2 linked regions of the Drosophila melanogaster genome follow. The protein of the gene in region 2 interacts with the protein of the main gene of each other region in a pairwise test. Each region holds a gene or a part of one and is shown on either strand. Other genes may lie near its edges.

Region 1 (3,758 bases), on a different chromosome or scaffold from region 2:
CCGCCGTCCTCGTCCGAAATGGTGCCGTTGAAATACAGGAAGCTGCCCCAGAAGGCGCAGTAGATGATCACGGCGGTGGTTAGCTTAAAGGTCCTTTCACCGGGGCTTCCCCTGCGCGGCGGAGTCCTGCGCCACTGCTTGGACAAGCCGTCGAAGGTCAGTGCCGCCACGAGACCAGTGAGCAGCAGGGAGTAGGTCTCGTCATATATCAAATACCTGGCCGGATACGCCAGATAGGCGGCCACCAGGCAGTGCCACCATACACCCTGCTCCCGGCCAATGTTGCCCACCAGCCAAACGCCCAGCGAAACAAACAGCGGAATCGTCCAGTGTAGGAAGCTCAGATCCCAGCCACCGACCAGGGTCTCCGGAATGGCCATGGAGCACACCTGGCCGAACAGATGGCCGATCATCACCTGGCCCACGAATCTCTTCGAGGAGTACGGCGGTTTCGGATACGCCTGCAGCTTGGCCACGAACATCTTGACGAACTTGGGATCCTCGTTGGCATCCCGTACATATTCGGGTATCAGGAAGAGCTCGCCCATCCAGCCAATGCCCATGTAGCCACCCAGGGTGCACCACCAAATGAAGGCGTGGCGGTCACGGTGCAAGTACAGATGATGCAGGCCGAAGATTCCGCCGAAAAGCCAGCATAGATAGGCAATGACCACCGATTTCTGGGGCGGCAGAGCGTTCATCTCCTTGCTTTTGGTCTTGCCTTGCGCGTGGCCATTGGACTTAGCCTTCGAGGGAGATCCTTTGGAGGTATCGTTGGTCTTATCCTTTCCAGCCACTGGAGATACTGTCTGCGTGGTGCCCATGGTGTTCCAATCGGATTACTGCAAGGGAAGGGGGCAAAATTGTTATGATAAACGGAATAATTCGGAAGTAGTTTTACTAACAATATTATGGAAAGAGGACAACTTTTAAAAAACAACATAACATAATAAACATATGTATATTGGTAGTACAACATTAACGATTATTCAAAAAATTGCAATTATGAAATAATTAATTAGCTTAATATATTAGCGTAATATATGTTGAAATAGTGGCACGCTGAGCAATAACATAACAAGCATATCTAATATACAACACATAACAATATATTAAAATATATATGAATATTTTAAGTAAAGTAACACGATTTGATGTAGCACATTTAACTGATTGAAGATAAGCTTTACGTATTTTAAATCAACGAATAAAGAACGGTGGCCTATAAAGAAAACTCTTATGAAGACTACATACAGCAAAGAGTTTCGAGGATATATAATTAATTTATTGTTATTATTTTAGTTCCAGTCTTTAAACATCACTTTTTGGGCCACTTTCCGTGAAAGATACTTACCCACTTGCGATCGACCTCGATTTCTTGTGAAATTGTCGCTGCGCAGGCGCAACTTCTTGGCCACGACTGTGCGAAGAATTGGAGAAAGAGAGGCGGAGAAAGACGCGGCGCAGAACTTTCTCTTTTCACAAATTCTACGCACGCAGCGACAACAAGAACAAAAACGACAAACTGATCCACAAAAACAAAAAAAAAAAAGAAAACCAAGTGCACTGATGCGTTCAATTTGAACTGGTTGTTGCTATGTTTCACTAAAATTGCAATTGAAACAATTTGAAACAATACGAATTTGTTGTTTTGCGGGCTGGATTAAAAAATTGAATAAAAATCCGAACTTTTTGCTCGGCTTAAGCTAGGTGTGACCAAGTGCAGGGACAGGCCAAAATACCATGGATCTAAATTTTAGTACGTTGTATATCTACAATACTCTTTAGTTCACAAACGATGTATGGCAAATGTAAAATGTATAAAATATAATGCAAGTATATAAACATCAGTTATAGTTATTGTATTAAAATACACACATATAAAATCAAATCCAATAATCCAAATAATTTAATCTATAACCAAAAGAACCCATTTAAAAATGAAATATTTTTATTGATATTTGTGTTTTTTTTTTGCTGCTTAAATATAACATAGTTGCATATTTAGCATGGCTTACATGTATAAACAAAATTTTTGTTCTCGATAATTTGACACGTTATTTGAGCTTTTAAAAAATACTTAGCCTATGATTATAGTTAAAATAAAAATCAAATTCATTGAGTTTACCAACTAAAATTGTTATGAGAATTTGTTAGCGGCCGGCGTGTCATGAATAATTTCTTCATCGATTTTCAAATACACTAGTAATGTATAAAATATTAATGCAAGTATTTGACATTCTTTTAAATCTTCTCCGATAATCATGAGCACACCCGCCTTGCGTCGTTGTAATACTTTTCATTGGGATTAATAATAAATAGATGAGGCAAAAAAAAAAAAACGCATTCGATTTAGTGCGCTGAGTTTCCGGAACCAGCTCCGGACTTAAGATGAGTGTAGTTGCTGGTCTGGAGCGGTGGCCACTTAGTTGTTCTTCTTCTTGGGCTTCTTCGGATTGCGGGAGCGCGACTTGGCCTTGCAGAGCGGACAGATGGGCGCGTTCCGGTGGATCTGCTGGTGGCAGGACAGACAGGACTTCATGGGCGGCGGCTGCTGGCGGAGATTCACATTGAAGTCGGAGCGGAACGAGGGATGGTGGCCGATGCCGATCGAAGGCGATTGCTGCAGTCGATTGCTGGGCGGCGGCGGTGGCGGTGGTGCTGAGAAGTCACCCTTGCCCAGACGCACTGCAGCAGCAGCGGCGGCGGCAGCAGCACTGCCTGCTCCCGGCGGTGCGGGTGGCATGAAGGCGTGTCCAGGATTGCCGCCACCACCGCCTCCGCCGCCCACAGATCCTCCGCCACCGCCTGCAGCGCCGCCACCACCAACGCCGCCCTGTCCGCCGCCAGAAGGCAGCGCGGTGACCGTGGCCTCCGGCATCAGAGGATGCCGGGCATGCGGACGGGCCAACGACGAGTTCTGATTAACCGAGGCCGCCGCCGCAGCTGCAGCAGCTGCTGCTGCCGCCGACTGGGCGGCCACCTTAAGGAAGTTGGTCTGGAAGCGATCCTTCGAAATGGGACTGCCCTCCTCCTCGTGCAGATCTCGCAGCGGGCTTAGTCCGAGATAGTCGCGGCGCATGTGATCAATCTGGTACTTCAGGGCCAGGTACTCCTCGTACACCCGGTTGGCCATGTCGAAGGAGCGGGTCTGGTTCTCCTTCGTCTGCTTGATGATGTTCTCCATGTCGTTGATGTCCGCGTGGATCTGGCGCAGCTCTTCCACGTGCGACATCTTCTCCTCGAGCAGGTGCTCCATCTCCTTGCGGTACTCCTCCAGGCACTTCTCCTCGTCGTCGCTCAGCTTCACCTCCTTGATGATCCGCACTTTGAGCTTCTCCAGCGACAGCGTCTTGTCCCTGATGTCCTTGATGGCCTCCAGTTTGGCGTAGTAGTGCCGCTCATTGGAGCTCGAGATCTCGCTGGTGGCCATTGTAGATCCAAAACGATCCGTGTGGTATAATATGTGTATTTTCGAAAGACTCTCGAGTGTTTTCTGTATGGCCCCCTCCACTGGGCGAATGTTTATTTTGCACTTTTTCACTAGCCTAATAGTTCGATGTCGGATTTTCCGGCCGATTCTTAAGCATCTGATATGGATGATCGCGTCTTTTGGGATAATCCTTTGGAATGGCGCACTTTTAATTGATTTTTTCTTTATTTATTTGATTTTTTCTCTGCTAATGCTAATACCATTTTTTTCTGGTATACAATGCAGTGTTACCAGAGCGTGGAAGTAATTTTTACATTTAATCACG
Region 2 (3,434 bases):
CGGCCTGTGTTGAAGGGGCATCCGCGATAGAAGTTGCCAATGCGGCGATCGCGCTCTACGTAAATTCGCTTGCACGCCTGCCAGCTGCCCTCAGACCTCTGGCCCATCTCACTCTGCAGCGACACCTTGATCACATTGAGCGGGTAGAATATTGTGCTTATGCTCGCACCGATCACGGCGCCCGCTATGAACTCCTGCACTGTTCGAGTGGATACGGATTTCTGTGGATGGGCAACGGATTGGTTAGTATCTTAGTAGGTTCGTATGTGTGATAGGGTCAACACTCACTCTCTTAGGCAGCCGGACGCTGGCCTCTTCTCGCAGTACGAAAAATAACGCGTTGGACAGGCCGTTGCGCCAAAATACTGGTTCGAGTCCCCTGTAGAGCTCCCGGTAGCCGTGGTGGGAAACCACATACCTGTGGAATGATTAAAAGCCATAAGAAGATCCCATTAGCAAACTTAAAGATCCGTCAGCTCACCTGAATGCGTTTTGTGTGTTGGAGAAGTGCTGGTGGAACTTGGAGTCCGCGAGGAGGGTTTGCACCCGTTCGAAGGGCAGGAGGATGGACTCGGCGCTGCCGGCCACCACGGCCGCTAGCACCTTGGCCCCGTAGTCGTTCAGGCGGTAGTCCTCCACGAGGTACCTCCTCGTCCCGTCGAACACACCGAACATGATGGACAGGGATATGGTCTTCTGGGCGAGCGGCGGCAGCATGCCGCGGTACAGGAAGCCCAGTCCCTCGTGACGCAGCTGTGCAAAGGCCGAGGTGATGGGCACGCCGTGCAGCATCTGACGGAAGATCATCTTGTAGATGGGATAGGTGACCGCGATGTTGACGAAGGCTGCTCCGCAGCCGCAGGCGAACTCCTCCCACTGAAAGGAGCCGAAGAAGCGCTTCGAGAAGACGCTGCCATGCAGCAGTTTCCCCGCCTCCCCGTCTCCATGTGGGCTGTGTGCTCTTCCGGATGGAAACCTTTTAGGGGGCGGTGGGTCGGTGGTTTTCGCGACGTTTGGTGCTCCATCGTCTTTCATCTTGCTGCTGTCCTGTGTTTATTTCGGGCGTGTGGAGAAGTGCGCATTTGTCACCGCGTTACCATTGTAACTATTCAAACACGGGGATTGCGCTGGTTTGGTTTGTTTTGGTTTCGATTCGCATCGGTTTTAATTATATAATAATGAAGAAGAACCACGGTTTGACGGCCACGGCCAGTGTGACCGTCGCTGGACCTCTGCTGCATACCAAAGGACTCTGTTATCCAAATTGTTCACAAGCCAACCAAAATTAATTGTCGAACTTAAATTAGCAGCGGCGGCTTTGAGTTTTGTACTCGCCCTTTTCGGTAATTTACAAACTTAATATAACACCGTATAATTAAAATATTCTTAGCAGTGCGTTTAACAGCACTGTCACTTTATTTTGACCGAATCACCCTGTGTACTTGTTCCACTGACGCAAAGACCACCCTATGGATCAGAAACTTATCATGTGCTGGTATGCATTGGGTGCTCTAAATCCACGACTTGGATGCTTTTGTATTAGCCTCCTAAACCTCGGGAACACCTGCTCCTTGATCGCTTCTGTCAGCTTTTTACTTTTTCATTCCCAGCTTTCTTATCGTTTTTTATCAGATGACGGTGCTGCAAAACATCTATTGAACAGCTGTTGCATCCAGTGTGTAAATGAAATATGTTCACACTGCACAGTGGGTCAAGAGGCAAAGCATATTTAATTATATAACAAACTCCACCAAGCTGAAAATAGTTCCATATTTTGTTGCACATAGTTGCAATCGTCGCAGTTGCTCGGATAGTGATTAAACCTGCAACACCTTATTTGACGCGCCCAAGTTTAAATTCATTACACGATGATCCGCAATATATCGCTTGGCATCGCCATGAACGAAACTATCGGCGAATCATCGACGCACGACGTATCGATGTTTTTTCACACCACCAGCTTTTTCTTTTCGCTTCTGGTTTCCGGCAAGGTATGTGCGTGATTTTGGGCCCACGTGTATTTCCATTAATTTTAAGCCGTAATTGTCGTTTTTGGCGGTTTCGAGTTGAACTGCGTTAGTCCGTGCGCTGTTCGCAAGTGTGCGGCTCGTATTTCGACCGAATTCGGATCGATTCCTGTGAGAGTTCGCCAAATGGCTTCTGTTTGTGATGGGAATTCGTGGGGCGACACACCGGAAACTCAATGGATACTGCCCAAGAAGCTAGCCCAACCTGGTTGAATTATGCATTAGTGGGACACCTTGTGTGTTATTAGCTTGATAAGTGATATTTCCAGTGGGTCAGTGCACTAATGGCTACTTTTGTTGTGTCCTTCCAGCTTCAAGATGACCATCCGCCCAGCATACAGGCCCAAGATCGTGAAGAAGCGCACCAAGCACTTCATCCGCCACCAGTCGGATCGATATGCTAAGCTGTCGGTGAGTGCCAACGAGGATTGTGCCAAATTGTACCCGTGTTTAATCAACATGTCTCCTTGCAGCACAAATGGCGCAAGCCCAAGGGTATCGACAACAGAGTGCGTCGCCGCTTCAAGGGACAGTATCTGATGCCCAACATCGGTTACGGATCGAACAAGCGCACCCGCCACATGCTGCCCACCGGATTCAAGAAGTTCCTGGTGCACAACGTGCGCGAGCTGGAGGTCCTGCTCATGCAGAACCGCGTTTACTGCGGCGAGATCGCCCACGGCGTCTCCTCCAAGAAGCGCAAGGAGATTGTCGAGCGCGCCAAGCAGCTGTCGGTCCGCCTCACCAACCCCAACGGTCGCCTGCGTTCTCAAGAGAACGAGTAAGCTTAAGATTCTTGAGAGTTCTTGTAACGTGGTCGGAATACACATTTGTAAACGTTAATATACCGGACTTTTAGTTAAAAAATGATGTGCGAGTGCCGAGTTCAATTGTCATTTCTGAGATTGGGATAGCAGCACCATTGATAACATGTGCATTATCTGGATGGATATCAGTTAATCCAGACCATTGCGGTCTTTCTTTCTGATAGCAACTGCCTCGAGATATTAGACCAATATAAATTCCTTGACGTGCCAAAACTAGACAGCATCAATCCTTATCAGGGAATTTTGTTATATATTTTACATTTTTCCCCCTTAGTATTGAAAGAGGTTGTTTATATGAAATCATATATATATTCGCAATTATTTTTACAGAACAGTGTACAATTATTATCGGAAATGCTTCTGTCTAAATGAAACGCAGTAATTGAAATACCAGTAAATTATATTTTGTAGGAATCTACAATAATCAAGTACAAAGAGGAGGAAATACACTAGGGAAAGATAAACAATTACTTATTGTAGGCAATGTAGCTTATTTCAAGACCACGTCGTGATCAAATTGCAAGTGGTGTTCGAGCTCCTTCTTGTTCTCGAAGTTGGTATTGCAAATGAGACAGAAGCC

The links. Proteins that work in one complex are often made in the same cells at the same time.
Region 1: the proteins of RpL32 (region 2) and wus interact in a two-hybrid assay, tested with the Drosophila melanogaster proteins (one large-scale study listed by BioGRID).

What each region holds. Positions count from the first base shown.
Region 1 is NC_004354.4:16,939,150-16,942,907, forward strand, and holds the start of wus (wurst), read right to left. Parts: upstream 1,725-3,758; 5' UTR 1,355-1,724; intron 843-1,354; 5' UTR 825-842; coding exon 1-824. Other genes in the region: CG13001 (uncharacterized protein), read right to left, coding at 2,426-3,433.
Region 2 is NT_033777.3:30,044,691-30,048,124, reverse strand, and holds RpL32 (ribosomal protein L32), read left to right. Parts: upstream 1-1,984; 5' UTR 1,985-2,203; coding exon 2,204-2,235; exon of another isoform or gene 2,236-2,263; intron 2,264-2,338; coding exon 2,339-2,438; intron 2,439-2,500; coding exon 2,501-2,812; 3' UTR 2,813-2,896; downstream 2,897-3,434. Other genes in the region: CG7943 (uncharacterized protein), read right to left, coding at 1-221, 289-418, 482-1,035; Sry-delta (serendipity delta), read right to left, coding at 3,345-3,434.